Arabidopsis thaliana: one gene and its partners. The protein of the gene in region 4 interacts with the protein of the main gene of each other region in a pairwise test. Each region holds a gene or a part of one and is shown on either strand. Other genes may lie near its edges. The genes, in order: MSS1, WNK3, GRXC1 and GLUR2.

Region 1 (9,068 bases), on a different chromosome or scaffold from region 4:
AGAAGATTTACAAAATTCATCAAAAGGATATTTGGTGAATGATGCAATTATCTTTGAAGCTGAACTTGTTAAGGTCTCTGTGACCAATATTGTTTCCGCTTAGAGATCTCTAATTCTTTGTCAGCGATTAAACAACCTTATGAATAAAGAGACAAAGCTTGTAATTTTTTCAACCAGATCTATTAAACCGTTTAAACCTCAACCATATGGATCGTTGGCAGGGTGGTCCAACAAAAATGATGGCACAAATCAAAATTTTATCCGTATTATCTCATAACTCTGGTTAAAGATGACCAAAAGAATATAACGGAATGGTTTAACAATACTCTCATTAAGTACTAATTGGTTTTAGTGCACATTTTTATTGTTGAACCATCTCTACATTTTTTAATCATTGGAAAAAGAACTATATGGAAAATATAAGTATACATAACAAAAACTTATATGCAGTAATTCCAATATACATATATGTAATCCTAGTTAAGAAGCAAAATTTGTAAAGGCCAAAGAGACTAGGAGAGTCACCACGGCCACGATTTGAGCCGTCACCATACTCGGGAGAGAAGCAGCAAGGCTAGGAGAAGGGCCAGGGACTCCGGCTGCAGGAATAGTAGTCGAGGGAGGAGAAGAGGAGGAGGAAGTTGGTGGATCAGAGAGTGGCGTGGAGGAGGCAGGGAGAAGGACGTGAAGGTCGAGCTTCTGACCGGCGAGGCAATGGCCAGGAACGCCGCAAAAGAAGAAATGGTGGCCGTGGTTGGTGAGTGTGATTGAGTCGTTGCCGGTGGTGAAAGTAGAGATTGGCTTTGAGGTGTTGCAACTTCTATACATTGGGTGCGTCACTCTCATTACGTTGTGGAATTGTGGGTTGTATTCGAACACTATCAAAATCAAATTAGTTTACGTTTTACTCATGTTTTCATAAAGGTAACAACAATTTTAAACATGTGCATACCATGAGAAAAAAATAGAGAGCATATATAAACCAAAGAAAAATCATAACATATTTTGGCCCAAAAACTCAATCATAGTTTTTATTTCAAAATTTATCAATCATGATTCATAAGTTAAGAACCTCTCTAAACTAATTAATATAATCACTTTAGCAGATGTGACACTTGATTTCGTATTAATCCTATAAATTTAATTTGTGACTTAAAAGTCTCAATGATTAGGGCGTGAGTGGTACTCTTTACTTTACACCTAAAGCTTACGCACTTAAGAATTATGAATGCTAGAGGGGGTCCACTTTCCGACAAAATTAAGTATTACAGTCAAGATCTTCTCATTTTAATTTAGCTTGTATTGTACAATGATGTAAGAAAATTCAGGAACTCACAGACAGTATCACCAATGTGGAAAGTTTTGGTAGAAGCCCATAGCTTGTAGTCTACGTTGGCTATGGTTGTCCATCCTGCTGAGTCGCCGACTTTGTACACGGCCGCTTCACTCAGTCGTAGCATCACCACGATACACGCTAAAGCCGCCACTATAATGGCTGCCATCGGTCAACAAACTTTCTCTGACACACGCTTCTTCTTCTTCTTTGGTAAAGAGCCCCACAAGGTTTTCTCCTTTAGTTTCTCTCTTTCTTATTATGTGTGTGTATATATACAAGGAGGTATGTGAATGTGAGTGGTGGTGCGTATGTATTAGGAGGTCACTTGATCTTTATTGGTTAGTTGGCTAATTTGGAGAAAGGAGTGTCTAAAAAGCAAAATACTGACAAAGATTGTTTACTTTACTTGTTTACCTTTTATTAGTGTTGGATTTAATGTCTAAGACTGACTTGGAAAATTGGAAGAATGTATAAAAAAATAAAAATGTCGATATAATTGAGAAAGAATAATGGAGGAAAGAAATTAAATGATGATTTTTTTCCTTAAAACTTTATAAAATGTTAAATAAATCTTGACATGATATTTTTTAAAAGACATGAATGACTTAGAAATCTCACATGAAGTTTAGTTTGGGATATAATAATCCAATTTATAAAAAAATACTATGGTTAATTCATTTTGAAAACTCATAAATTAGTCGGTTTTTAAACAAAAGGAGAAAAAAGTGATTCTTGTTATATGTTGTCAAGTGTTCACATGGTTTAAAGTTTGGAAGGCTTGTAAGGAAAGAATGGTGCGAGTTAGTTGGTCTGCTAATTTTGAATCATCTTTTAATTTTAGTACTTCGCAGTTACTCTTCCTCCTACATCTTGGTACCATGATTTCTTTAATCTAAGTAATATATTTGTGATAAATACCTTTTTTTGGGTAAACTTTTATAACAACATTTTATGCAATTTGATCACTGCTGGTTTTAGTAGAGAGTAGACTGTATAACTTCAAAACTAGTCTATATTTTTAAGCAATTTGAGACCAACAAAAATAATTATACAGTCCATTATAGGCCCATAACAAACCTATATTTGGCCCATTAACATAGGCTACCATCATTTTTAAGAGAAAATCGACAATGCAAATTTAGAGTTTGACATATACATGTCACACTTGTAGAAAATTGGAACTCAGGGATGACATTAAGAACCACAACAAAGCAAAAAAAAAAACTTCACTTATTCACAAACGCAGTTCAAACTTAAAGTAACGAAATTTAGTACACTGTATAGAATTGAAAACTGTATTTCCCTTCTCTACTTTGGTGTGTTTACCACCTCTTGTTCACTCTCTTCTGCTTCTACTTTGGTTAGGGACTCTTAAACCACTTTAAAGCCGTGTTGAAGGATCAAAGCCATTAGATTTACCATTACTCTTCTCACCATTCACGAACTCGTGATCATTATGATCATCCATGAACCTAGCCCAGAACCAATGCTTCTTCCAAACTCTCTCAGTCATCTCCTCGATAGGAATATTCTTAGTCTCCGGAAGTAGGAACATCACAAAGACAGACATAATCAAAACCCATGCAGAAAAGAAGATGAATATCCCAAACTTGAAATGGCAAAGCATAGAGAGGAAAGCTTGAGCGATAATGAACGTGAAGAGCAAGTTAACGCAGACCGTTACACTTTGTCCCGCGGAACGTGTCTCTAGAGGGAATGTCTCACTAGGGATTAACCACCCGAGCGGTCCCCAAGACCAGGCGAAAGCAGCGACGTATGTGCAGATCATTACCACGACTAGAATTGCGAAACCTTTGGAGAGATTTGTAGAAGTGTCTGTTACTTTGACGCCAAGGATAATGGCGATTACGACTTGAGAGAAGAACATTTGGACACCAGCTTCTAGGAGAAGAACTCGGCGACCGACTTTGTCAACGGAGTAGATTGAGACTAAAGTTGAGAGGACGTTGACTGCTCCGGTCACCACTGCTGAGTAAAGTGAAGCGTCACTACCAAACCCTAATGTGCTGAACAGAACAGGCGCGTAGAACATAATCGCGTTGATTCCAGTACATTGCTGGAAAATCTGCAAATTGCACACCAAAAAAAAAAAGATTAGCTTTAAACTTTGAAACTGAACTCTATGGAATCAAAATTTATGGAAACTTGACAAACAATTTAGGGTTATTGCTCCTAAAATGAACACAATGGAATCAAAATTATGGAAACTTGACAAACAATTTAGGGTTATTGCTCCTAAAATGAACACAATGGAATTAAAATTATGGAAACTTGACAAACAATTAGGGTTATTGCTCCTAAAATGACCACAATGGAATCAAATTTTAGGGTTTCTAGATCCTAAACGAAAAACAAAATCACTTCAGTCAAACTCTCCAAATCGGAGATAAACTTTTCCGATTACCAATTACGAGAGAACAGAGAAGTGGTAGTACTAACCTGTAAAGCGACGGCGATGACGAGCTGAGGACGGTTTCTACGTTGAAGAAGGTTTCTAAAAGGGTGTTTAACTTCTTTAGCAAGTCGACTAGCTTCAAGGAGATCAGCGAACTCTGGTTCAACATTATCGGTCCCTCGAATACGACGAAGAACAGCTTTACCTTCATCGAGACGACCTCTTTCGACTAAACTGTTTGGTGTCTCTGTCACCAATAAAGCTCCGACCGTTAGAAGAAGCGCGGGAATTCCCGCCAAACCTAACGATAACCTCCATCCCCAACCTCCTTTAATCCTGCGAACATTTCAAAATTTATTTAGTGGGCCAGTTTTTAACTCCGTTATGGGCCTACACGTAAGCCCATTAATTACAGGTGACAGATCATCATAACGCATTAAAAGTCAATGCCGGAGAAAATTTTGTTTGCGACTATATAAGACGTAGGCATGTGGATAGAATTTGCCGAAAGCACGGAAGAAAATTATGTTTGCGACTTATATGATAAAGTTTTTTCTTTGTTGTTTTGTTCAAATCTATTCATAAAGTTAAATGCTTTTTTTTTTGGTAATTGGATATGAATGATTTTTGAAAAAGGTGAAAATAAATTTAAATAAACACGGAAGACAGCCAAAAAGTTTGACAAAAACGATCAGAAAATTATGAATACTTTTTAGGTAGTACATGTAACTAAATCTTTTTTTTTCTTACAATAAATTTAAGGTTGTGTGAAGTGAAAGAGACAATTCATGTGGATATTTTTTCAAGTGTCATGTTAAAGCAAATTTTCTAAAATTATGACCACCATATATTAATTTGGATTTTATTTTGTCAAAAAAATCTCAAACCCTAAGTTTATTTTCCACACATTTTTTCAGATTATCAAATAAAATATAGAAGAAAAGTATTAGGGAAGAGATATTTACTTGGCGGTCCCATAGTTGACAAGATTGGCGAAGAGGATACCAATAGTGACGTTAAGCTGAAAGAGAATATTAAGACCACCACGGATCCTAGTAGGTGCAATCTCCGACAAGAACAACGGAACGGCTTGATTAGCGAACCCAACTCCACAACCAAGCAATATCCTGCCTGCAATAAGCATGGCTAGGTCTTGAGCCCCCGCGTTGAGAGCCACACCTATGATGAAGAAAACGCCGGCTATGAGCATAGTTAGCCTCCTTCCGAGCGTTCTTGTCGTGTATGAAGCAAAGAACGTTGCGGTTAGACCGGCTAAGTATAAAGATGATGTGAAAAGTTGTAGTCCTTGGTTGTCGTATTTGCAGTAGTTGCTGTCTTTGTCGGCGCCAGCTACTACTTTCCGATAAACCACGGGAAAAAACTTTTCGAGAAAGTCCGGCATCGATGTCACTCCGCCTGCGTATAGCCATTTCAATGATGGAAAATTATTTTTGTTGTTACTATTTTTACCGTTAAACCCTATAGGATATTATACTCATAAATTTATTAATTTATTCATGTTGATGTAGCCCATGTTCAAATTCAACATCGAGCATGTGTGTTGTAAGAAAATAACAAAAAGAAGAACTAAAACCTATATGACACTACTTTTGTCAATATACTAACTAAAACAAGGACGGTCTAGATCTTTAGCTGCCAAACTTTTGTAAGCTAAGATTTTTTTTGATTATTTTCTTACTTTAACCAATATTAATTAACATCGAGCTAGTTACTGAAATTTCATTTTGATTACCAAAGAAGTTAGGTATTAGGTGAAATAGTTCTACCAAAGAAGTTATTGGCGGTAGTTGAAAACATGAGCAAGTCCTATTTAAAATCGTTTTTTGAGAAAACTTGCACTAACAAAAACTTATGTATCTTTAAAATAAAAACTTCTTCTACGTTTTGTATAATATAAGATAAAAGGATTGTATTATACATATAGAAAAATAACTAAGGGATGTTAATATTCTTACCGGAGACACCGACGTCGTAACCAAACATGAGGCCGCCGGTAGCAGCCATGATGCAAGATATGATGACTATTGGAGTTATCTTTGCCTCAAACTCTACTCCGTTCGCCGAAGTCGCAAATCCTCCTCCGGTCATCCTGAATATCTCTTAGAAGCTAAAGTTTAAAAGTTATTTTCTCTCAAGGAGTTAAACAGAAACACTTAAGTTAAAGAGACCATTGGGGGTGTTTACTTCATTATATAGAGAAGTTGAGGTAGTGAAGCAAAAATAGATGTTATCTGCAGCCAATGAGATTCTTGCACGTCTCTTTTTATGTTCACATGCTACTGAGTCATCAAGTCATTGGTCAACAAACGTTTTCTTCTAAACTCTTTCTGCTTTATGTGGCGTCTCCTTAAGTCCTTATAGTTGAATATACAATTTGCCCATCATCATATAAGTCTTCTCTTTCTTGTTATAGTATTATCCTCGAATATTATATTTATTTTTATGTTAAATTATAAGATTCTCCTTTCTTATTAGAGAGATTGTTACATTTTCTCATATCGCTGTCAATGACTCAATGTGTTGTGAAAATCTTGCAACCGAAGCAAAATATCTCGAAATGTATTATACCTTTTAGAATATGAACGATTTGGGCCGTGTGTTCATACAAAATAGCCAACGTCATGTTACTTGTGAATTTTATCTTACTAATTCTGTCCTTTGTATTGTCTAAATTTATTGATGTTATGTATAAGTGTTACGTTATATGCCATATCTAGTCCCATATACTTTTAACACCGTAAGCAATATTCAACATTTTATTTCAGAATCATATTGAGATGAAACAATTATTGTGAGTACTAGACCGACACCAATCGAACCCACCAACCTCCCTAATTAAGAATATGGATCCAAATCTTTAAAATCGTTATAATATATAACCATATTTGCTCACCACTCGATTCAATTATTGTTTACTCTCGTTCTAATACGATTATGGAACAAAATATCTACAACTAGTCGAAGCCAATTTTTTAAATTTATATGTGTTGTTTTGTCATATGGTTTTCTCAGTTGGTGTCACGTTATTTGTGTATATCTACCAAATAGTCACTTTTGTATAGTTCATGGGTCCATATCTTTAAAAGACAATAACCATATATGTTTTTGGTTCTGATAAGACTAATAACCAAATATGCTCACTGCTACTCAGTTATTGTTTACGCGTTGAAAAGTTGCAATGCAACAACAACAACAAGTAAATATCTACCTTTAATATAATTGACTTTCCAATATATTTAGGTTTTTGATTTTTGATGTATGATTTTTCATTCTTTTGTGGTTTTGGTAATTGAAGTTTTTCCTATACACTGATATATCAATATTAAAGTAGGACAACACATGCAAATTAAAAATTGAATATTAATTGTTGAAATATTGTACCACGGATATAATGTGTTTAGACTTGTAAGTAAACTATATCCACTTGACATACATGTAAAATTAATTACGTAACAAAATATTCCTGCTTGGACCAAAAAAGTGTGTATTTTACTTTTCAAACATCATTATCCTGTTAAGAGTTGGAGTCGACTAATACGATTCAGATTCCACAAATATCAATGAGAGAAACGTAATAAAACGTGACGATAATTAATAGGAAAAGAGAAAAAAAATACGTCAAGTCGTTAACAAGAAAAAGGCTTGTTTTATTATTATTCTGTTTTCAACGAGAGCAATAACAATAATAAAATATATAAACAATAAATATCTATAAAGTTATTGTTATTATCCTGTTAACAAAAACTAAAATAAAAATATAGCTCTGTAAGTACGTTGCTCCAAGAAACGAAACTACATCCCATTATTTCAGCATTCCAGTATTATTTTCGTAGATTTTATATATATATATATATATATGTTGGTAAAATACTAAAGATTTTTGCTTCTAATTGTGGTGAAAATTTTAAATAGTACGGCGATTTTCATAATTTTTTACTTTCTTTTTATTGTACTCATTCGGCTGATTTGATCAGTTTCGGTAGAAATAAACCGAAGTATTATAAAGTAAACTTTTCCCGATTCAGGTATCGCCTACAGTTTTTACTATCACAGGTTTGGGTTACAACGATTTCCATAATTTTCTGAACTGAGCAAGCCATAAGTGAATATTAGCTGATAAATATAAAATGGGGAAAAAACCCTAAAAACACCCCATATATTTTTAATTTGCCCGTTTAATACCTCGGTTATTTAATTTGCCCGAACAATACCTAGGTTTATTTCTTTTCGCTTTAAAATCTTTCGTTTAGTTTTTGTTTGGAAAAACCAGCTTCTCGGGTTAACGACTGTTAACTTCGTTAACGGAGTGTCTAACCGAGGTTAATACTTAACCCCACGTGTTTATTTCGATCTAATCAAAGACACTGTTACCCTTTTGGCATTCTCCCCCAAATCGATTTCGATTCCAAACCCTAAAATTCTCTCTTTGATTTCGAAACCCTAAAATTCTCTCTTTGATTTCGAAACCCCAAATCGATTTCGATGTGTGTCGTCGTTTAACTGGTTGCGTTGTGGTCGGTAATTGATTTCAACGAGTCTGCTAAGTCACGATGAGGTATGTAATCGAATCGATTCTTAGGGTTAGAATTGGGGGAAATCGATTTCTTTGTTCGTCGGGATCGATTTCTGGGTTGTCGGGATTGAGAATGGGAAGATTTCTGGATCGATTACTGGATTTGTCGGGTTAGATTTCTGAGTTTAGAGTAACAGTTTCTATGTTTGTCGGGTTCGATTTCTAGGTTAAGGGTTTTGTCGGGTTTGATTTCTGGGTTTTTAGAGTTCTAGGTTTGTGTCATTTGAACTTAATCCCCTTATTCTTTGTTGTTTTTGCAGTGGTTTCGATTGTTTGAAGCTGCATATAAAGTATGGAGGAGATGTCTCAATTCGCGATGAGTCGTTTGCCTACATTGGAGGATTTGAGAAGAGGGATATGCTCATTGATCCAGATCTGATGACGTGGTCTATCTTCGCCGATTTCCCAGCAGAGAATGGAGTATCTGCTCCCGTGAAAAAAGTTTGGTACAAGCTTGCACACGAAAGCTTTGAATCAGTAAGAGCTATAGGCGAGGATAGAGATAGTGGGATTAGGCAGCTGTGCAGTGAAGCGTTGATTGGTGGAGAAGTAGACGTTTATATTGAGCAAGGTGTGTCTGAACCAACACCGTTTCCTATGTCTCAGCATGGTGAAGAGGCTGTTGTTGAAGAGATGGAAGAGTCTGATGCAGAGGTTGAAGGAGATAAAACTGGGGAAGAAGACAGAGGTAAAGATGATGATGTTGATCCTGTAGCAGAATG
Region 2 (7,417 bases), on a different chromosome or scaffold from region 4:
TAATACTTCCAACAATGATCCTCAATAAAGATGAAAGCAAAGAGAAAGATTCTACCAGGACATGATCAAGACCTCAATCCATAATTGCATTCTCTGATGAAAATAATGATATCCATTCAATACTGAGTTGAAGAAAACAAGAAAGAGACAGAGAAGCTCAACAATTGCAAAATGAATAAATAAATGCAAACTGTTTATGAACAATCCTACAACATCTTTCAGTTCCATCAACAAAGCCTACAAAATCATCTTACTACCCTGCAGCACGTAGAACAGAGGAATGGACATTATTCGCAAAGAGAGTAGAGTTTTATTCCAGAGAGGTTGAATGGAAAGACTTCCAAACAGTAGATGACCTCTTGGTTGTATTCTTGTAGCTGAATGGGATGAACATGTCTCTGCGGAACAATTGGGTGACATAATACCTCAAGCTGCAGCACCAAAGAGTTCGGAGATTTTAGGGTGAGTTTTAAAGTGATGGGGACATATGAAGAGAAGATTTTTCGCATCAGTGAGTCTTCCTTCTCGATAGAAAGCTTCAATGACATGAAAGTAGGCTGCAAAGGAAGGAGAATCCTTTGAGCTAAGCACATCCAAGAACTTCTTAGCGTCTTCCAAAGTCCCAAACTTTGCAAGGTATCCATCAAAAGCTTCTGCATACGCAGGGTAATTTTGCTTCTTCATCATCTGAAGAAGATCTAGTGCTTCTTCACTCTTCTTGATCTTTAGCAGCTTGTCTATAAGAAGTTTGTACGTGCTTTGCCAAGGCTTTACATTGGCATTTTTCACCATCTCCATAAGGAATATGCTTGCCCCCTCGAATTTGTTGTGGATAACAAACCCATCTATCAAGACATCAAGCAGATTAGAGTCAATATCAAACCCTTTCTCTAGCATATTCGCAAAACACGCCAAGGCCTTATCCAATTCATTGTTTTTGCAGTGCCCTTGGATCAGTATAGTCCAAGTTTTTATGTCGGGAAAGCATCCTTGTGCTTCCATTTGATCAAGGACTCCTCGTGCTTCTTCTAATCTCTTAGCTTTACAAAGACCAAACACGAGTTGGCTGTATGTGATGTTATCCGGCTCATAACCCGCATTTCTCATAGCCTTGGTGATTTCCTCAGCTTCGTCAAACCTACCTACACTGGTTAAAGACCTGTGGATTCCATCATAAACAGCTTTTGAGAGAGACTTCCCTGTTGATTCATATTTCCTCGAAACCCGAAACACCAAATCCAAATCTGGATTGGGACTACCCGATAAATACCTCAACAAAAGACTACAATCTTGAATAGATGGTTTGAACGGACCATCCATCATATATTCATAAAGCTTAACTGTCTCAGCCATCATTCTAGATTTCTGAAACTGCCTTGAAACCTTTATATAAGTGTCAAGATCCATATCATACCCTGCAGTCTTCATTTCATCAACAACACTCCAAAACTCTGCAACCGAGTTAGGCCTAGCCAAAACCCTCAAAGCTGCGTTATAAGTAACAGTACTGTGTTGATAACCAGAAGAACTACCACCACCACCAACCCAATGGAAAAACGCCAAAGCTTTCAAAGGATGTTCCCTTAGTTCTTTCAACACCCTAATCACAAAATTATCCGACAAAACGAGCTTCATCTCCTGCAATTCCCTCTCAACCTCACAACTCCAATCCCCCTTAGTAACAACAGCAGAAACCTCTCCAGCAACAACAGACATTGCGTTCTCCTTAAGCATTCTCTCATAAAAATGAGCCACAGCCACAGCATCAGCTTTCGATTTCTCCTTACTAAGCTCACCATAAATAGTCTTATAAGTATCCTCGTCTAAATAAAACCCTCCTTGTTTCATCTCCCTCAGAGTCATCCAAAACCGTTTCATTGATCTCTGCTGCACTAAAATCCTCAACATAATGCTATAGAGTGGAGTACTTGGACTAAGCCCTGAATCTCTCAAAACCCAATCGAGAAAGTAATAAGCTTTTTCAGGATACTTCTCCAATTTCCTCAGAACGTAAATTGCAGTCTCGTGTGTCAAAGACATATCAGGTTTCCTCAATCCTTCCTCTACTTCCTTAGACCAATCATTCTCAAGCACTAATTGAAGCATAGAATCTGGTTTCGAAGAAAAGGTTCGAAATTTCCAAAGAAATCGACTAGGGACGATTGCAAATGAATCGAGAGGCGAAGACAAGTTTGAGGAAAAACCCACCTTAGATCGGCTTAGATACGATCGAGTAGAGATCTGTGAGTACGCGTGTCGAAGAGAAGACAGGATTGCCATTGATCTGTACATGGCTACAGATGCTACTACTGTGATTTTGTGTGTTTTCGAATAAGGAAGAGGGAGAGGAAGAGAAAGTGACAATAATAGGGTTTAAGCAAAAATGCAATTTTCCTGAAAATTTAGGGGTTTAACTCCTGAAACGCTGCGTTTTAATGCTGTGATATGATATTTTCAAGTTGGTTTATTCTGGCTTGGGCTTTTAAGCCCATTTATGCCAGATATTTGGGTCCAGTCCCGGAATCGCTTACCAACAAGAACAATTTAACTTAAATTACTTTTCGATTTTAGTTCTTATGAAAATTGAGGGCTTTTCTCGGTGCCCTAGAATTGATCGGAAAAATGTTTTCTTCATGGCAGAGCAAGGGAGTGCATGCTTCGACGGATCAGAAACCAATTCCTGAACAAGTATGAGAATTTAGTTTATTTCAGTTTTTGTTTTGATTATTTATTTGCTCTTTGTAGTTTTGATTGGATCCCTTGAGTCCTTGACGCTGCCATATGCTTATATTTGCTTACTCCCTGAAACGCTTTCTTTCCTATAAAGATGTTTTAAGGTAGTTTTATGAAATTTTGGGCTTTTAGCCCATTTATGCCAAATGTTTTGGTGATTAGGTTTATTATCTATGAAACCCTAATATATTATCTTGAGGCATACGCTATTTAAGAAACACCAGTACCCATTAAACCTAATAGGCGAGAGAGAACAAAATATGAACCGCTCTATATCTTCTTCTAAGATTATGAGAGGCGAGCATAGATCATAAGACAACCTTATTAGAGTCTCTGCAAGTGAGTCCAGTGAAGACGAGTAAGGTTCATAAGAGTTGGGTGAAGAGGACGAGGCTAGCTCAGAAGAATCAAGTGAATAAGAACACAGTGATGTGACCTATCATCACCGCGTTCTTTTCTTCTCCCAGACTCTTCTGAGCTAGTTACGTCTTCACCTAACTAATTCAAGAAATATTATTTGACAAATAGTTTTCCTTCAATCATAACTGTCACAATTTTGTTACACATTTACTTACCTTTAGTACAACATAATATTGCAAACCAAATTAATCTTGACGAGAGTGTGTAATGTAAAAAACGTACTAACACAATAAGTTATCAGAATCTTTAACTTGCAATCTCACCAAAGCCTCTTCACAAATCTCAGGAGGAAACTCTTTTAAGAACTCAGTAACAATACGTTCTTGATCTCTCTGCATCTCTTCAATCTCCTCTCTCTGTTTCCTCAACAAAGACTCAAGTTTCTCTACTATAACCCCAACTTCTTGATTGATCGGTCCTTGTGCTGACGACAACTTAGAATTAGACCGTGGCGCAAACGGTGAACGTGAGTCTCCAGCTCCAGCTTTAGGAGAGGACCAGAATTTTCTCCCTGAAGGAAATCTATCTAAATGGAGCGTCTCTGGAGAAGACAAACATTTTTGTACCGCTGAATCATCACCGATAAGTCGAGAAGGGGTCCAATCGGGGATGTGTGAATGTATCTCTGTGTCGATCATTTTAGCTATCGTTGAGATGTCTTGATCATCGGTTAAGTCTAGTTCTTCGACCATTTCGATGGCGACTGAGAAAGATGTGTCTGTCTCTATGTTAAATGGGAAGTGGATATTGCGGATTTGACCTGTATAAAAAATGTTATTATTGTGTCAAAAGAAGATTTAGTAATGATCTGAAGATTTGTAATAAAAAAAGCAAAAAAGATTTTGAACCTTTGGAATCGGTGATACGTAGTTTTAGGAAGATTGTGTTGAGGTCTTTACGTTGGCCTTCTACGGTTAATAAGCCTACCTCAGAATCCGAGAGTTTATCCACGATTCCGTTTCCGTTGTAACCATTTTCTGTGACAATGTTATTGAACTTGGTGTTAGAAAATTTCACATAGAAAAAATATAGAAACTATCTTATGTTACTATTATTGATTTTAACTTTTAAGAAAGGAGTCCATGACACTTCATATTGAGATGAAATGAAATACCATAATCTGATATTACCTTTGTGAGAGCTGACGTTTTCGGTATTTTCCTTGTAGCATTTCAGAAAAGGATCATCAAGTAGTTCCTTGGCTGACAAGCGTTGCGAGACCTTTGCGATACACTTCTCTATGAATGCTCTCACTTGCGGATCAGTCACATTTAAAAGAGCGGCTGGTTTGATTCCCTAAGAAGCATTGAGAAAAATGGATCGACAATATGGAAAAAGTCATTCTTGATTGGATATGAGATGGGAATATGATCACTTACCGATGTAACTTTCCTATAAATCTGAGCAGCATTTGTGCATTCGGAATACGGGTATTCAAAAGTTACCAGCTCAAGCAAACACATTCCAAACGCGTAGATATCGACAAGTACATTATAGTCCTCTTCATAGAGTTCCGGCGCCATAAATTCAGGAGTTCCTTAAACAATTTCAAACACAAAATTATAGTTTCACAATGGAGAAACTTTTTCGTTTGAGAACAAGATTAAAGATCTCACCGATGACGCTATGAGCAGAGCGAGCGCGGTGCAGAATCGCGGCTAGCCCTAGATCTCCAATTTTGACCTCACCTTGGTTCCCATTAATGAAAATGTTATCACATTTAAGATCTCTATGGATCACAGGAGGATCATGGCTATGTAGATAAACAAGCCCTTCTAAGATCTGCCTTGACCATTTCTTCAATGCTCTTAGATCAACACACTTATGTTTCTTCCGGTACCTATAAGGGTTTGTCAAACATGAATAATATTGATCAAATAAAAAAGATTTGATTTGACTTCTGAGAGAGGAATCTGACTGTCTAAGATTTCCGGAAGTGAAGACTTCGGTGATGAGATTGATAGTCATGTGTTGGTGATCGATCCAAGAAGTGTAGAATTTGATGATGCTTTTGTGTTTAAGGGTTTTGAGTAAGTGAACTTCAGAGTAAAGACGATCTAAATCCTCTGAGCTACAGAATTTATCATCTAACTTAACTTGGTTCCAAGCCACTTCGATTCCTTCAAGTTGGTCAAATGCTCTGTATCTGAAGAACTCTCTGATCAAAGAAACCCTTTAGTGACTGTGTCTTGTCCGAATCTAATCTGATTTGTCTCTGTAGTAATAACAGAGATCTAAGAAAAAGGATACACTTCTTTGAAAGCTCCTTTGCCTAGAACTTCTTTATACTGAAAACATGAGAAACAAAAACATTAGAATTGAGAAAAAGGTAACACTAAAATCAAGTAAAGAAGAACAGACCCGGCCATAGCGACCAGTGGGATCAATCTCAACGAATTCTTCCTCGGAGTTATTCTCGTCTTGTCGCATTCTTGGTTACTTGCAATTCAAAACAGATGATAGGAGTTCTTGAGAGAAGAGAGAAATTTAGTCAAGGAAGAACAAGTTTTGAAGCAGTTTCTGATAATAATAATAATCATTACTTAGCTGTCTTTTTGTGTATAAATCGATTATTTAGATTTTGTGCCATTAAAACCAAGCTTAAGCTTTTCCAGCTGCTGATCATAATGGTGTCGACTGTAGAATGTTGTACACTCTCTCTCTTTCTCATCTTCGAATTTAGGACACTCAGATCCACTGGACAAGACCACGTGGCAAAGGTGTGGGTCGTTGCTTTTTTCGCGCCATGGATCTGGTTTTTTATTTGATTTTCTTCTCATTTATTGTCATGTTACTCTAATCAATTATTTTGCTTATTCAGTCAACTTCATGGTGTTGTGAATATAAAATATTCGGACTTTTTTTTTCCCCTTCTTAACTCTTAAGTCACTGTTTTAGCTGACTAAGAACCCTATAATTGACTATCCTACAAATCGAATAATGGGTTTGGTAAATTACAAAATGTTTAGCCATTGAACCCGCTTGTCATGGTAACGAATTCGATTTTACTGTGTGTAAACAACAATTTGGACTTCAGCTTCAGTTCTTTTAAACTTAAGGAAACTTTTCACTAAAGGGTTTTGCTCTCTCTCTCAGGATTAATAGAATAATAGTCATAGTTTTTGGTGAAACATAAATATTCAATGTTGTTACACTTTAAATAGAAACTTGTACTGACACAAATCACTACACTAATGTTATGATCATTTGTTATAATCTATTACTTCTACTTATATCTCAAAATATAAATGTTTTACATATTGGAGACAGAATGTTTGAGACGAATTAGGACATTTAAATTTTCATGGAGAATTGTTTGTTGAACAATGTTGTCGTTGTATTTTTGATGAGTATGAATTGGCGGTTCAGCCGTTTAAAAACCGATTATATACAATGATCATCAAATTTTTGTAAGGCCCATTGGGCCCAGAGTATATAAATCCTTAGAGCTGACGGCAGCCTGAGACCATTATCCTAGGCACTTGTATTGTATGGTGGTAAGACACATCGTGGAAGCACCGAAAGACTAGAACGGTGACACGACCAAAATAAGACATAAATCGTAAACGCACCAAATGACTTTCACAAGGAAAAATCTCGAAGAACTAAACATTAAAAGACTGGTGCATGCATAAATACATAAGTCCAAAAGATTGAGTGGACAGTAATTACGTACTAGTACTACCGTGAAGAAACTTGGCTTGTATATGTAAGTCCAAAAAAACCACAAATAAAAACTCTTCACAAGAACACGTTTTGATGTACTTGAAGAATCCAGACATGATGATCATGTTCTTTCTGTTATGCTCAATAATCTTTGTAGTTACCATCATAATTTTCAGAAAACAGAAGAGAGGGAAGAAAAGAAACACACTTCCGTCACCACCGGGACTACCGTTGATCGGAAACCTTCATCAACTCGGCCGCCACCCTCACCGATCACTATGCTCTCTCAGCCACCGGTACGGTCCTCTTATGCTTCTTCACTTTGGCCGTGTCCCCGTTCTTGTAGTATCTTCAGCTGAATTGGCTAGAGACGTTTTGAAGACGCATGACCGTGTTTTCGCAAGCCGGCCACGGTCAAAAATCTTCGAGAAACTTCTTTACGATAAGCATGATGTGGCCTCAGCTCCTTATGGAGAGTACTGGAGGCAAATGAAAAGTGTGTGCGTCCTCCATCTATTCAGCAACAAAATGGTACGATCCTTTCGAGAAGTGAGAGAAGAAGAGATCAGTCTGATGATGGAAAAGATCAGGAAATCGA
Region 3 (6,367 bases), on a different chromosome or scaffold from region 4:
CTCGGTGAAGAACAGGATGAGGAAGTCTGCAAATAGAGGAAGAAAGATACAATGACTTTGTCTCTGCAATTTTCGAAGAAAACGTGACGAGTAAATCGGAAAAGGGAGAAGCAAGACGAACCTGTGAGCAAAGAATCTTCAAAAACTGCTGAGACTATTCTTCGTAAGTAAACTGGAGGTAAAATGAAAGAGGAGACTAAGACTGCAGGACCAATGAGCCAGAGCAGGCGTCCCCATGGACTTTGAGTTTCAGGGGGGATAATGATATCCTCAGTTTTATTCCGAGGATTGTAAAACGAAATGAAACCCGGTTTCCCGTCATTTCTATTGTATTGGATAGTTGAATCATCATCTCTAGGTGTAGCTTCGGTGCCAATTTGGGGACTTACTGTGTCTGGATCATTTGTTGTATCTTCAGTGTAGTGGAACTTTTCTTCTGAAGTAGCAAGAGGCAAATAAGTTCTCTTTCGGGAGACTTCGCTTGGTTTTTGGCCTCTTGAGGAAATGTGAAGAGAGCCAACTGTTCATAACGAATGCAAATACAGTCAGAAAACTTACTCACAAGTCACTCATACCCCCAAAGGATAACAATTAAGAGTAAGAAAGGAACTTACTTTTATCAGTTTTAAGGTGCAGAGAATGGTAACAATGGAGATGAGCAGGCTGAACCCTCGGTGAACGAAACTGAAGTTTGGAGACGACAAATATCAGCAAATATCCATAAACATGGGCTTCCCAAGACCAAGAAACAGCAGGTAATAACCTCATCAACAACAACAAATGAAACCAACACTTGATTTCATTTTATCATAACCTAATAAAAAGCATTATTGATCAGATGAAGTTCCAGTTTTTTCTAGGCATCATCTATGGAGAACAAGACTGCAATGTCCCAATCAAATCTAAGTAAGAATTGCAAAAACTATATCTTAAAGTCCACTTCAGACACATTGATTTTAGTATACTCAAATGTGTCAACTAAATTTTCCTACTAGATCAAATGAATATTTGTTCAATGTCTCAAACCACATTGGGAGAAACATCTGTCGAGACAATACATTGGGAGCATGAAACACAGATGCAGCATAGAAGAAACTCTAAAGGCTGACTACAAATTAAGAAATTGTCACCTGAAAGGAACTCCGAGGTTGAAACGGCGAGAAAATGGATGGAACCAAAGAAGAAGCCGAGGAGGACACAAGTTTAGCAGCCATGGCCGGTGAAGGCGGCAATTCTCTTAAACCCTAACGGAGCAACACGGGTTTAATCGGATTAACCCATGAATGGTGTACAGATACAAAAGATTTCCTCAGAGTCCGCAAAAGTAGAACTTTTTCCCAGAGAAACTGATACTGGAGAATAAATTCGAAGACTTTTGGTGAAATTTGAGGATTTGGGCTAATTTGTGAGAGCCACGGCTTCGTTACTTGCTTAGGTTAGTAGTTATTGATTTGATAAATCTTTAAAACAAATCTCCATCTTACACGGGCCTGTCTAGGTTTTGCTCCGCTTATTCCAAAACTTTGTCTTTTCTTCTACAACGCTTCGCTTGAACACACTCTCTGGTCAAATTCAGTTTCCTCAGTTTCTCTTCTTTAACCGGCTCTAGATAATATTTACTAATTGACCCCACAAGTTCTCTTAAACTACGATTTTGCACTATACTTTATAATAAATCTAGATTAACCAAATTGACATTATTCATTGCCATTGGACATTGGTTCTCCGAATTTGGATTACACAAATCAGTGAAAAATGTACTTGTGCTGTTCGAATCCGAATTTGGATTACACAAATCAGTGAAAATGCACTTCTGCTGTTCGAATATTCATTTCTCTTTCAATCGTAACTTTCCGTTGATCGATTTGGCTAATATTAGTTTTTCAGCCTTTAAGGCACCTACACGGCCGGTTACTAGATAAGTTTGGTTCAACCAAAAGCCTTAATCCACCTACTTGACCGGCCTGCTACAAAGTCAACTTGGGATGCAACCAGTAATCTTCAGTAATTTAGAGCAAGAAACTAGAGCAGATTTCTCAAGTTTTATTCCATTAACCGAAACACCAACATGAAAAGTATACACTTAGATATTCTGTATTAAACAACGGGAATGATCTTTCTTTATTGAGTATGTGACGATACCTCTTTTTTCATGATCTAAACACAACACACACTCTTCACACACTAGTTTCGAGTTTCATCAAAGTTGAGAAGAGTTATCTGCAATAGCCCCAGCTTCAGTAAGTAGAGGCACAAGCTTGCCTTGCTTGTTGGTCTCCATCACTCCTGCAAAATATAGAAGCAACACGAAAAACGCAGTTAGTTTTTCCGGCAACCCGAATTTCCATTATTGTGCAGAGAATTTGTGTAGGTTTTTCACTTACTATCGCATCCACCGATGTGGTTTCCTTTGATGAAGACGTTTGGAACTGTGGTCTGTCCAGTCCACTCTGATAAAGCTGATTGGATCTCACCTCCATCACCTGAAGTAAACATAGCATCGAGATAATTCAGGTTCATTGAGATATATTAATATACAGGTATTGACAGGGATTTGGTTTCATACTCATTTCATCGAGCTCAAGTACTTTAAAAGTTGCTCCTAGCTGCGTCAGTAACTGCTTCACCCTCTGGCAATAACCACAGTATGTCTTGCTGCGAAAGAGAAAATATGGATCAGAGCTAAGACATTACATTTGAAAAGTAACCTTTAGACCATCTCAAAAAGTGGAAAGAAATACGTTCCTTTTAAGACTAAGCAAAATCAAACTCAAGACTCTAAGCAACAACAAATTAAGCTTCATTTCAAAACTCCGAAAGGCATCCCCAAATCAGTCATAGGAGCTTGCACGGATCAATCTTCAAAAACTCTAGCTTCTTCAAAGATTTCTAGACTAGTCAGAATCAAATTTGAGAACTGGATCTATCAGTATATATTACATGATCACATCCCTAATCGTCTAGGGAACCCACAAATAATCTCTGAATTGGATGGAGAATCACTAATATAAGATGATGTTCGATCTTTCATTCACGACCTAATTTCACAGATGGAAACAACAAAACAAGCAGACAATGATCCATTGGTGCCTCTGCGTCAAATAGAAGCAGACTCTACCCCCTGATGGTAAAGACTCAAACTTTTTGACTAATTCAAAACCCCTCAAGGCAACAACATCCAATTTTCTCAACAAATTCATAATCACGAACGAAAAGAGTAATACCCAGATGAAAAAGATGGGAGATTTCAACGAGAACAAACCTGAAGACAACAACGGGATAAGCAGAGACGATCTCTTTAGCCTTGTTCACCACCACCTCCATCTCTTCCTTGCTCATTCGGTTTCCACTGAACATTGAACCCATTTCTTCTTCTCTTAACCAAAGACGACCACGACACAACTCCTACAGATGTCCTCTGCTCGAGTTTTGTGCCAATCTTGCTGGCAAATGAAGTTTTTATCTCTTTCAATCAAACCTCAGTCAATATTTATTAAAGAGTTATTTGCGTTGAAAAAAAGTTATCTTTCTGAAATGATACTCTTTTAGTCTTTTTTCGTAGAAATTTCTCTTTTCAGAATATTGTTTAAAGTTTACAATAGCGACGACTTTAGAGTTTGGATTATTGTCAATTTTCACAACTCAGCAGCTCTTATCCTTTTTCTTCTTCTAGTTCTCTGCCACAAGTTTACTTCTTCTTTTGTGTAAACGCAGGATGGGAGGTTGTGTCTCTGTATCAATATCATGTGATCAGTTGACGAAGAATGTTTGTAGTTGCTTAAACAGGAATGGAGATTACATTCATGGCTTAGAGGAGAATCTGACAGCTCTGCAGAGAGCTCTTGAGCAGATTGAGCAAAGACGAGAAGATTTGTTGAGAAAGATTTTGTCTGAAGAAAGACGAGGTTTACAACGACTTTCTGTTGTGCAAGGATGGGTTTCAAAAGTTGAAGCAATAGTACCTCGAGTTAACGAACTCGTCAGAATGAGATCTGTTCAAGTCCAAAGGTTGTGTCTTTGTGGGTTTTGTTCCAAGAATCTTGTCTCAAGCTACCGTTATGGGAAGAGAGTAATGAAGATGATAGAGGAAGTTGAGGTTCTTCGATATCAGGGAGATTTCGCTGTGGTGGCTGAGAGAGTTGATGCAGCAAGAGTGGAAGAGAGGCCTACTAGACCTATGGTTGCTATGGATCCAATGCTTGAGAGTGCGTGGAACCGTCTAATGGAAGATGAGATTGGGATTCTTGGTCTTCATGGTATGGGTGGAGTAGGTAAAACTACACTTCTCAGTCATATCAACAATAGATTCTCTAGAGTTGGGGGCGAGTTTGATATTGTGATTTGGATTGTGGTCTCCAAAGAGTTACAGATCCAGAGGATCCAAGATGAGATATGGGAGAAGTTACGGTCTGATAACGAGAAGTGGAAACAGAAAACAGAGGACATAAAAGCATCTAACATTTACAATGTGTTAAAGCACAAAAGGTTTGTCTTGTTATTGGATGACATATGGAGTAAAGTGGATTTAACAGAGGTGGGAGTTCCGTTTCCGAGTAGAGAAAACGGATGCAAAATAGTATTCACCACTCGGTTGAAAGAAATCTGCGGGCGGATGGGAGTTGATAGCGATATGGAAGTCCGGTGTTTAGCCCCGGATGATGCGTGGGATTTGTTTACTAAGAAAGTAGGAGAGATCACATTAGGGAGCCACCCTGAGATTCCCACAGTCGCAAGAACAGTTGCTAAGAAATGTCGCGGCCTACCATTGGCCCTTAACGTCATTGGTGAAACAATGGCATATAAAAGGACAGTGCAAGAATGGCGTTCAGCAATCGACGTTTTGACTTCATCTGCAGCTGAGTTTTCAGGTATGGAAGATGAGATTCTACCTATTCTAAAGTACAGCTATGATAATTTAAAAAGTGAACAGCTCAAATTGTGCTTCCAGTACTGTGCTTTGTTTCCAGAAGATCATAACATTGAGAAAAATGATTTGGTAGATTACTGGATAGGTGAGGGATTCATAGATAGAAACAAAGGTAAAGCTGAGAACCAAGGTTATGAAATTATCGGTATTCTAGTTCGTTCATGCTTATTGATGGAGGAGAATCAAGAAACGGTGAAGATGCATGATGTGGTCCGAGAAATGGCATTGTGGATAGCATCTGATTTTGGAAAGCAAAAAGAAAACTTTATAGTGCAAGCGGGCTTACAGTCGAGGAACATACCTGAGATCGAGAAGTGGAAAGTTGCGAGAAGGGTGTCATTGATGTTTAACAACATTGAAAGTATACGTGATGCTCCTGAATCTCCCCAACTTATAACTTTGCTCCTCCGAAAGAACTTCTTGGGGCATATCTCAAGCAGCTTCTTTCGGTTGATGCCAATGCTAGTTGTTCTTGATCTATCAATGAACAGGGATCTCAGACATTTGCCAAATGAAATATCAGAATGTGTCTCATTGCAGTATCTGAGCTTATCACGTACAAGGATAAGGATTTGGCCTGCTGGTTTAGTAGAGTTGAGGAAACTTTTATACCTGAATTTGGAGTACACAAGGATGGTAGAGAGTATCTGTGGCATATCAGGTTTAACAAGTTTGAAAGTGTTGAGATTATTTGTTTCCGGTTTCCCTGAAGATCCCTGTGTTTTGAACGAGTTGCAGCTTTTGGAAAACTTGCAAACTTTAACCATAACTCTTGGTCTTGCTTCTATTTTGGAACAATTCCTTAGCAACCAGAGGTTGGCAAGCTGTACACGAGCTCTGCGCATCGAGAATCTTAATCCGCAATCATCTGTAATCTCATTTGTTGCTACTATGGACAGTCTTCAAGAGCTTCATTTTGCAGACTCTGACATTTGGGAGATCAAGGTAAAGAGGAATGAGACGGTTTTGCCTCTGCACATCCCAACCACTACCACATTCTTCCCAAACCTCTCGCAAGTGTCTTTAGAATTCTGCACAAGATTGCGGGATTTGACGTGGCTGATCTTTGCTCCAAATCTTACGGTTCTACGAGTAATTTCAGCGAGTGACCTGAAAGAAGTAATAAACAAAGAGAAAGCTGAGCAGCAAAACCTTATTCCCTTCCAAGAACTAAAAGAGTTGCGGCTAGAAAATGTTCAGATGCTAAAACACATCCACCGGGGTCCCCTGCCATTTCCCTGTTTACAGAAAATTTTGGTTAATGGATGCTCAGAGCTGAGAAAACTTCCACTCAATTTCACGAGTGTCCCAAGAGGTGATCTTGTCATAGAGGCACATAAAAAATGGATAGAAATCCTTGAATGGGAAGATGAAGCCACCAAAGCCCGTTTCTTGCCTACACTCAAGGTTCTTTCTCTCGCATTTATCTGCCAAAACTTC
Region 4 (9,135 bases):
AAGGATTCCGGATTTTGTTTACCCTGTCTTCAATGCAATGGTTCATCGGAAGATTTTGCGTTTTCTGGTTCATGATTCATCGGATGATCGGAGGCTTTTGGGTTTATCCGGTTCATGATTCATCGGATGATCGGCGACTTTTGGGTTTCTCCGGTTCATGATTCATCGGATGATCGGAGGCTTTTGGTTTATCAGTCACGGACACGCACACGGGGAAGACGGACATGGCGGTGGACGAAAGAGGCTTGGACTGCAAATCTCATTTTCAGCCCATATAATACTCAGAAGCCCATCAACAAATTGAGGTTCATTTCCTATCCCTTCTTATTTACTTTTTTTTTTTCCTCCCAAAAATCGATTTTCTCACGGATTTTTAATTTGCATAACGATGATATGAAAACTAACTGGATTTTGGATACAGTCTTGATCGTTAGCGATTCCAAATATTCAACTTGTTTTCATATCATTTTTATGTAGATATATTATCCAAGTTTTTTATTCGGATTTTTAAAAGTTTTAAACGTTTTTTTGTTTTGTTTTGTTTTGATACTAAATTTACATAAAGATATATGAAACTAACCGGATTTTGGATCCAGCCTCGGTCGTTAGCGATTCCAAATATTCAACTTGTTTTCATTTTTTTTATGTAGATTTTAGTATCCAAGTTTTTAAGTCAATTTTTCCGGTTTTTTTTTTTAATTATAAATTTACATAAAAATATATGAAACTAACCGGATTTTGGATCCAACCTCGGTCGTTAGCGATTCCAAACATTCAACTTGTTTTCTTATTTTTTATGAAGATTTTAGTATCCAAGTTTTTAAGTCAATTTTTTCGGACTTTTAAAGTTTTTTTTTATTTTTTATTTTGTTTTTATTCTAAATTTACATAAAGATATTTGAAACTAAGCGGATTTTGGATCCAGTCTCGGTTGTTAGCGATTCCAAACATTCAACTTGTTTTCATATCATTTTATGTAAATTTGGATATTCGGATTTTTAAAAGGTTTTTTTTTACACTAAATTTGCATAATGATGTATGAAACTGATCGTATTTTGGAACCAACATTAGTTGTTAGCGATTCCAAACATTCAACTTGTTTTCATATCATCTTTATATAGATTTTTAATATCGAGATTTTTAATTCGAATTTTATATTGCTTTTTCAAAATTTTGATATTTTGTATTTGGATTTTTAAGGTTTATTTTTATTTTTTATTTTCTATCTTTTTATTGTTTTGATATTTAATTTTCATAATATTATATAAAAATTGATAACTAACCGGATTTTGGATCCAGCATTAGTCGTTAGAGATTCCAAATATTCAATATTTTTTATATCATTTTTATGTAGATTTTAAGTATCCAAGTTTTTTATTCGAATTTTGATATTTTCTCTTCAGATTTTTGAAAGTTTTTTTTTCTTTTTGAGATTGTTTTTATAGTTTTTTTTTCTTAGTATTTAATTTACATAATAGTAGTATATGACAGAAAACTAGCCAAGTTTTTAACTGTTTGAGTTTATAAATGTTTTTAGTGATTAGTGTGACTAATTTGATTCAATGGCTAATCAGCAACCACTAACTATCCTATAAAAAGTAAAAACCAACCGGTACATTTGGAAAGCTTCCGAGTTTGGATATAGTCGGTTTAGCAACTAAACTGCCTAATCCGGATTGGCACCTCTAGTTTTTACAGTTTTGGTATGCAACATAACTGGAAGATAAAAAGGATACCAAGTAATTCTTTTTTTTAAGAACTATGTATGATATAGCTTTGTCTTACAAGTTAATGCTTCACTTTCTTTGGTTAAAAAATGTTCCGTATTCTTCAAGGCTTATTCTTGAAGTACAGTTAAAATCAAAATCTGCATTCTACTATATAAGTATGAGGTATGTGTGTCTGCATTTCTTCATCTTTCATGCTTGAGTCTTGATGGATCTGTCATATTGGTCTAGAAGGCTTTAAAGAAAGATCATCGTTTCGTTTACGCTTCATCCTTCTCTTGGATTCGTCTTCTTTTTCATCAAAATAAGCTAGAAATGTCTGCAATGATTTAGAACGTGAACTTTCTGGTGAAGGTACTGTGGCTTCTTCATCATATTTGCCGTGGCGGAAGAAGTCGCGGACTATCTTGAAGAAGTAGATGAAGAGAGCGATAAAACAAGAGATCCCACACACAAGGAATAATCCCCAGAAGCTTCGGAGTTTAAGCTGTTCTGAATCTTCATCTGACACTGAACCGTTGAGGTTACTGCAGTTAGATCTTGAAAGCCACTTGTCATGGATCTTTTGAAGCTGTCCGGTTTCTGATAGACCTAAGATCGCGGTTGACATGTCGATTGCTAATGGAGAGTCTCTTGGAAATGCCTACAAACAAAACCGCAAAAAAGATGATCAAGATTAATGTTCAAACAAACCGCAGAGACAGTTTTAAATGAAGGTACTCACAAATCCCCAGCCACTTCTGGTGAATTCTTGGCCTCTAATGGCAAATCCGCAGAATTCTGAGAGGAAGAGATCAACGTAAGGACGCTCATCAACAATTGCAGCAACAGTTCCGTTTTGAAGAGCTGCAGCGTATTCTTTAGGAGAGCCGAGTGGTACAAGTCTGGATCTGGCAATGTTAAGCTCATCAATCATGTAGTTTTCTGCATAAGAACCTACCTGAAACCCAACTCGTCCACTGCTGCTGATGAGTGTGTCTACTCCTCTGATTGGTGAGTTTAGCTGTTGCACTGTAAGAATCGATGTAAGACTCGCTGTGTAGCTTGATGTTATGATTAGTACCACAAATAGCCAGATGAGCAGAACAGCACGACCGAGTGTACTCACTGTGTTCTCTCCTGCAAGTTTAGTAGCATAAAGATGTTGGAGATATCATCACCTATACAGTAGTAACTTAGCTGCAGTTTTTAGATGTAACTTACTGTGGGAGAAAAACATCGTGGAGAAGCTGAACCTGCATACATAGATCATAGCTTATGAGGTCTTTAGGTATGTTATGTGCCAACATATTGATAAAATGCAACTTCAGTGACTGTTTACTAACCAGAGAATAGTAACAATTTGTTTCCTTGGAGGTCCGCGGAACTCATCGTTGATTCTATGTTCAAGAATCCATATTACTGATCCAACGATGAGGAAAAAAGCTGCTGTAACAGCCCACATTGGAGGTGTAAAAGGGCGTAAAAACGCCCACGGAGTATCATTTAGCTTTGTGACAGGAGCAACCACGACAAGCCCTGATTCTATGTAAGGCTGAGTGAAATCCACAATCCTTGTTCGTTTCGTAACAATAGCTATGTCTCCTACAACAGCATCAAATACCTGAAAGCAGAAATGAACAACTCACAACTATTACAGTCAGTTTCGACAATGCTTTGTAAGAGAAATGATATTTTCTTGATTCTTTTGCTCACCCCAATAGTGACATTGTTGACAAATTCATTGAAGTTTGGGTTCTTGAGACCGTCTCCAAATAGGACGAACTCATGAGGAACCGGATAAGAAATCAGTTTTACCGCAGCTTCAAAGACATCAATGGCATACCCTTGCACTTTGTTGCTTCCATCCAACCTTGACACAAACTCCTTAAAACTTGCTCTATCGGGTACACCGATTCTCAATCGTCTCCCGTTGTTAGGAAAAACCCAACCACGTGGTGTCTCAGAAGTCCCACCAGGCCAAGTCACATTGTTCAGATGTTGGTTTGAGCTCGAACGATTTGAAAGCTTTTTGTATAGTGACTCTGGAGGTATAATAGAGAGCCCGGAATGGTTAGACCAATACCCTATCTGCCTAAACCCGTCATCAACCACGTTTATGATGTCATATGAGGGCTGTATCATTGATCTGTCAGGAAGAAACTGTATTTGACCTGTAACACCAGTCATATTTGTATTCACAATATAATCAAGAAATTGTGATCCTTGGTCAAATATGCTCAATGCACCTAGATTCAGTGACCCTCCTCCCTTCATGCTGGTTAACTTTGGGTCACTAGAGAAGGAAATGTTAGCTCTGCTATCTAGAAGTCTCTTAACAGCTCGAGCAATGATCCAGACAGTATCATAAGCATAGAGACCATAAACGTTTAAACCGACAGTCCCGTTACTCAACTTGTTCCACCGTGCCACGAAATCTTTTTTCTTTTTTGAATTTGGCGTGTGAATACGAAGAGTAAGCACGCCTCTAAGAGATTCAGCAGTCTTGGCAGGTAACGGGTTAACAGAATCTAACAGAGAAGTCAACCAAGTTGTAGCTATCCAAACATAGCCTTTCTCCATCATGCCAAGCTTCTGGGCTTCCTCAAAGATTTTCTTACCTGTTTTAGGGAAAGTGTTCACAATGATTACCCGAGATTCCATCCCTTGAATCTTAACCAACTCATTTATAATCTCACGAGGACTCGTAATCACCACATCCAAAGGAAGCACAGCCTTGTATGAAATCTTGCAGCGCCTTCCTTCGAGCTCATCGCCTAAAGCTGTTATACCGTTTCTACTGTTGTCATCATCATTATACAATGCAATCACCTCTGACCAACCGTAGTAACTTATCATTTCCGCAATGGCACGCATCAGAAAGAGATCACTAGGTGCTGTCTGGACAAAGAACGGGAACTGAAGCGCCGAGAGACTAGGGTCTAAAGCTGTGAATGACAACATAGGCACACTAAGCTCATTTGCAAGATGAGACAGTACATGAGCCATTATTGATGTCTGAGGACCAATGATAGCCACAGCATCAGTCTCCATGAATTGCAAAGCTGTGAAATAAAACCAACACAAAGGATAAGTAAAAGTTTAGTTCCAAAACAAGAATCAACGAAACAAGATCATATCTTTTTTTCACCTCCCATGATGGTGAGGAATCCATTACGCTTTGCATCATACGTCGTTATACGCAATTTTGATCCACCAAGGAAGCTAGGATCAGAATTTACATCTTCCTCTGCAGCTTTCATAGCAATATTTGTAACTTCACCCTGTAAAGTCCCTAAACTGAATATTGCTCCAACATCAACATAACGAGGCCTTAAACCAGCTCCCTCTGAAATCATCCCATCACCAATAAGAACAATGAAGCTCAACAGAACCAAAACCCAAAACATAGCTTTGGCTTAATCAGTTCCTGAAACACCAAGTTTGATAAACAAACAACAATTAGATAAAATTCCCAAAAACTTTAAGAATCACAAAATGAGAGATTGTGAGCCACTTCACCAAATCAAAATGGGATTTTTTTAAAAAGAGTAACATAGGAAGAGAAAGCTAGAAACTTCTAATGAAACAAAAAGAATAAGGAAGATAAGCAAAGAAAGTGACTTTAACCAGAACTGAAAAAGTGTCACGAGGATTAAACCCTTACCTCAAACATAGAGAACAAGGATTGTCAAGAAATGAGTGGCAGAGATGCCAAAACCCAAACCCAAACCAAAATCATCCTTTAAAGAAAAGCAGATTCGTCAGGCACATGAAAAATCTAGCTGAAAGAAAGCATGAGGAACAAGCAAGAGGAGTACACATATAAAAACCTGAAAAAAGGAAGGAGTAGGTCTTCAATAAACAAAAAGGAGGTAAACTGACAAAAGTAAAATCATGGGTTTGCTTGAAGATTTAGGAAAGTGGTAAGCTTTTTGGTGGGATTTGATTACTTCCAATCAGAATTCATGCACTAGTCACATTTACAGGCTAAGAAAAAAAGAGTTAGAGAAGGAAATTGGATAGACTAACCATAATTGTCGACATAGATAATGAGCCATTATCGATTGAAAAATGTGAACTTCTTAACTTGTAAGTTTTGTTTCCAGTGAAAAATGAAAACTTTTTGTTTTGTTTGCAAGTGACGAAGTGACCCTTTTGGTTCCCAGCCAAAGTAAAGAAGATGATGATGAGAAACATATTATTCCTTACTATAATCTATAATGGTAGTCTATAATCTTTTATTGGCTAGTGAAATCATTAACCCAAAAAAAGAGATAATTAACCAAATCATCTTTGGGACCATTAATCGTTTGCGTCATGGAGTTGTATGATTATACTTTTGATTATTGAATCAGTATTTTATAATTATATATTATACTTGTATTTGGATTCCGTTATACCTTGATCCAATGACTGTTTTAAATTTATTTTATTGTTTCATTTTCTTTTTTGAAAAGTAATAGTATTATATTTTGTGGTCTTTCATGCGACAATGAGAAAGTCTGGATATTTCGAATATTATTTGGTTCAGGTATTTAAAACATCTTCCCATGTTCCACATATGACATAACTCCAAAAATGAATGTATGTTGTTGGACCATTCTTTTATTTGTAACCTTTTTTTACCCCAAACCAATAAAAATTACAGATGCTTATGGCATTTTCTGATTTTGTTGTCCTATATAGGCAACCTTAAACCTTCTTACCAAAAAAGAGAGACAAGTTTACTTATACCAAAAACAATTCTTGTTATTATTTAAATGTTTCAGGAAGATAAGAAAACGCACGATAAAGAAAATCTAACGGATATAGAAACAAAAATAATAATCTAGGAAACAAATCGTAATCAAATGTCCAATTTCAATAGTGTGAATCATGGGATGGGAGAGTGGCGATTTTATTTCTGTGGAAGTGTGGAACCTCCACCGAAATTGAGTAATGGAAGCTCAAACTCCACTAAAATCTTTACTTTTTCCAAATCTTCCAATTGGCTTTGGAATTTTGTTGGCTTTGGAATTTTGTTGCTTCAATATTCTTGCATAGGCTTAGAATTTAATAATAGACGCAAGATTTATAAGGCCTATCAGAAATAATGGACTCTAGTATTATAAGGCCCATAAGAAATAATGAACTCTAGTATTATAAGGCCCATCAAAGATAAACTTGGGCCAACAAATAATAAGCAGCAAAACTGATACATAAAAAACGTGGTGGTTTCAAACTGCAAAGAGATAAGTCTCTTCCTTACATAGTAAACCGCTCTGTTCCTCAACTGAAGTTAACTGTCTCCCTGTTCCTCCATAACTTCTTTCCCACGTAACCTCTCCTTCTTCTTCTACTTAAGCAACCCTTTCTCTAACTTCTACTCTTTTTTTTCCCACTTTTCTTCCATCACTTCCTCTACGTGCTCACAATGAACAACAATCATTCCTATGATGATCGCAGTTTTCACATTCCACTTCATCCTTCTAACACAAGCAACCCTAATCCAAATCTCCAGTTTGCTTTATCTTCAAGCTACGATCACAGTCCTAAGAAGAAACGCACCAAAACCGTTGCTTCATCCTCTAGTTCTTCACCAAAATCCGCGTCAAAACCAAAATACACCAAAAAACCAGACCCAAATGCCCCCAAAATCACACGTCCATGTACTGAATGTGGCAGAAAGTTTTGGTCTTGGAAGGCTCTCTTTGGTCACATGAGATGTCACCCTGAGCGTCAATGGCGTGGCATTAATCCTCCTCCTAACTACCGTGTGCCCACCGCGGCTTCTTCAAAACAGTTAAACCAGATATTACCAAATTGGGTCTCATTTATGTCCGAGGAAGACCATGAAGTCGCTTCTTGTCTCTTAATGCTGTCTAATGGTACACCATCATCATCGAGTATTGAACGGTTCGAGTGTGGAGGATGTAAGAAAGTGTTTGGATCACATCAGGCTTTAGGAGGACACAGAGCGAGTCATAAAAACGTTAAAGGCTGTTTCGCTATCACAAACGTAACCGATGATCCTATGACGGTTTCTACTTCTAGTGGGCATGATCATCAGGGAAAAATCCTTACGTTTTCAGGGCATCATAAGTGTAATATCTGTTTTAGAGTGTTCTCGAGTGGTCAAGCTTTAGGAGGTCACATGAGATGTCATTGGGAAAAGGAGGAGGAGCCGATGATCAGTGGTGCTTTGGATTTGAATGTTCCTCCAACAATACAGGATCTTTCTACTTCGGACACATCAGGGTGTTGTTTAGATCTTAGGTTAGGACTCTAATTAGTATCTATATATATATATAATGTCTGTAGGTATATTGGATGTTTCCTTCTAATTAATAGGTCAATGTACATGTTGTGATTTGATGATAAGTATAACGTATGTAGGATATTCTGCTATATATATGCTTAATAAAGAAAAATATTTAGTTTTGTGCTTTCGAAATGCACTGATTTTCTGGTATATTAATTAATTTTGAATCAGATCAGAAAAGAAAAGAAAAAAACACTTGAATCAAGAAAGAAAACAAAACTTGTGTTGTACCAAAATGTAAAAGAAAGTTTCAAACGTATATCCAACCAAATACTAGAGAACAGAATTGATCTCTTAAAACATGAAATTCATAAGCAGATATTGAGCCGTTTTGTAAAATTTAAGCCAACTAAGAAAAGGGAAAACATTTTAATTTCACGGAAGCTTAATTAGTATTATTCTTGCCAAATTTCGTTGTTTGACTTGATCTCAAACTCACCACGATCTCCAAGACTCCAACCATTCTATTTTTAATTATTTTCTTAAAACTCTTACCATTCTATCGTATATAGATTAGATCTTATTCCGCTAGAGAATCTTAGTGTTACTTATATCTAAGATAACCTTGTTTTCACCAGCTAGCTTTAACATAAACAATGCTTAAATAAAGATTGAATCTTAAAGAAAATTATTAGTCTAAAGATTCAGATGCATTATAGGTAAACACGCGGAACTAATTACAACATGCACGAACCCTAATCCGAGACAGTTTTCAATTAATCTTCTCGAATCTATTAAACAAATATTAAATCAATTGTCCTTCAAACAATTATCGAGCTAGCTAGTGCGACACACAACCTTCGTGAATATTCAACTACTAACTCTTTTTAATAACAATAACTATCGTTTACAGCGATGCTTGTTGGTATATAAATACATCAAAAACAACAAGGAGAATCTTCTGGTGAGATTTATTTATATCAAAGATGAATTTCCCTAGCTCTTGATTGATTCTAGTACATGGCTCGTGTTAATCACAGGCGCGTGACAAATATGTTGTAAAATTGTTCACGTACATTGTAATTCATTTCATATGTCTACATCTACAACATGTTGACAAAAAGTATAAATGTATCATATGCATCATAATATTTTATATGTTGTTGATTTGTTTATATGTGTTTA

Evidence for each region.
Region 1: the proteins of GLUR2 (region 4) and MSS1 interact in a protein complementation assay, tested with the Arabidopsis thaliana proteins (one large-scale study listed by BioGRID).
Region 2: the proteins of GLUR2 (region 4) and WNK3 interact in a protein complementation assay, tested with the Arabidopsis thaliana proteins (one large-scale study listed by BioGRID).
Region 3: the proteins of GLUR2 (region 4) and GRXC1 interact in a protein complementation assay, tested with the Arabidopsis thaliana proteins (one large-scale study listed by BioGRID).

Annotation. Positions count from the first base shown.
Region 1 is NC_003076.8:9,241,134-9,250,201, forward strand, and holds MSS1 (Major facilitator superfamily protein), read right to left. Parts: upstream 6,408-9,068; 5' UTR 5,862-6,407; coding exon 5,729-5,861; intron 5,169-5,728; coding exon 4,718-5,168; intron 4,089-4,717; coding exon 3,797-4,088; intron 3,423-3,796; coding exon 2,718-3,422; 3' UTR 2,265-2,717; downstream 1-2,264. Other genes in the region: AT5G26320 (TRAF-like family protein), read left to right, coding at 1-103; AT5G26330 (Cupredoxin superfamily protein), read right to left, coding at 481-878, 1,337-1,502. UniProt on the Arabidopsis thaliana protein: Mediates an active uptake of hexoses, probably by sugar/hydrogen symport.
Region 2 is NC_003074.8:17,869,638-17,877,054, forward strand, and holds WNK3 (with no lysine (K) kinase 3), read right to left. Parts: upstream 5,894-7,417; 5' UTR 5,584-5,893; coding exon 5,515-5,583; intron 5,442-5,514; coding exon 5,404-5,441; exon of another isoform or gene 5,300-5,403; coding exon 5,072-5,299; intron 4,994-5,071; coding exon 4,770-4,993; intron 4,691-4,769; coding exon 4,533-4,690; intron 4,450-4,532; coding exon 4,284-4,449; intron 4,131-4,283; coding exon 4,002-4,130; intron 3,914-4,001; coding exon 3,375-3,913; 3' UTR 3,183-3,374; downstream 1-3,182. Other genes in the region: BIR6 (Pentatricopeptide repeat (PPR) superfamily protein), read right to left, coding at 427-2,292; CYP71A26 (cytochrome P450, family 71, subfamily A, polypeptide 26), read left to right, coding at 6,934-7,417. UniProt on the Arabidopsis thaliana protein: May regulate flowering time by modulating the photoperiod pathway.
Region 3 is NC_003076.8:25,283,351-25,289,717, reverse strand, and holds GRXC1 (Thioredoxin superfamily protein), read right to left. Parts: upstream 3,542-6,367; 5' UTR 3,367-3,541; coding exon 3,263-3,366; intron 2,656-3,262; coding exon 2,567-2,655; intron 2,484-2,566; coding exon 2,385-2,483; intron 2,287-2,384; coding exon 2,201-2,286; 3' UTR 2,024-2,200; downstream 1-2,023. Other genes in the region: AT5G63040 (uncharacterized protein), read right to left, coding at 1-26, 122-520, 615-684, 1,131-1,214; AT5G63020 (Disease resistance protein (CC-NBS-LRR class) family), read left to right, coding at 3,716-6,334. UniProt on the Arabidopsis thaliana protein: Has a glutathione-disulfide oxidoreductase activity in the presence of NADPH and glutathione reductase. Reduces low molecular weight disulfides and proteins.
Region 4 is NC_003075.7:16,786,271-16,795,405, reverse strand, and holds GLUR2 (glutamate receptor 2), read right to left. Parts: upstream 5,876-9,135; 5' UTR 5,374-5,875; intron 5,137-5,373; 5' UTR 5,117-5,136; coding exon 4,858-5,116; intron 4,772-4,857; coding exon 3,423-4,771; intron 3,331-3,422; coding exon 3,053-3,330; intron 2,963-3,052; coding exon 2,931-2,962; intron 2,847-2,930; coding exon 2,452-2,846; coding exon of another isoform or gene 2,434-2,451; exon of another isoform or gene 2,423-2,433; intron 2,371-2,422; coding exon 1,945-2,370; 3' UTR 1,721-1,944; downstream 1-1,720. Other genes in the region: AT4G35295 (homoserine kinase, putative / HSK), read right to left, coding at 23-73; DAZ2 (C2H2-like zinc finger protein), read left to right, coding at 7,123-7,977. UniProt on the Arabidopsis thaliana protein: Glutamate-gated receptor that probably acts as a non-selective cation channel. May be involved in light-signal transduction and calcium homeostasis via the regulation of calcium influx into cells. Could play a role in calcium unloading from the xylem vessels.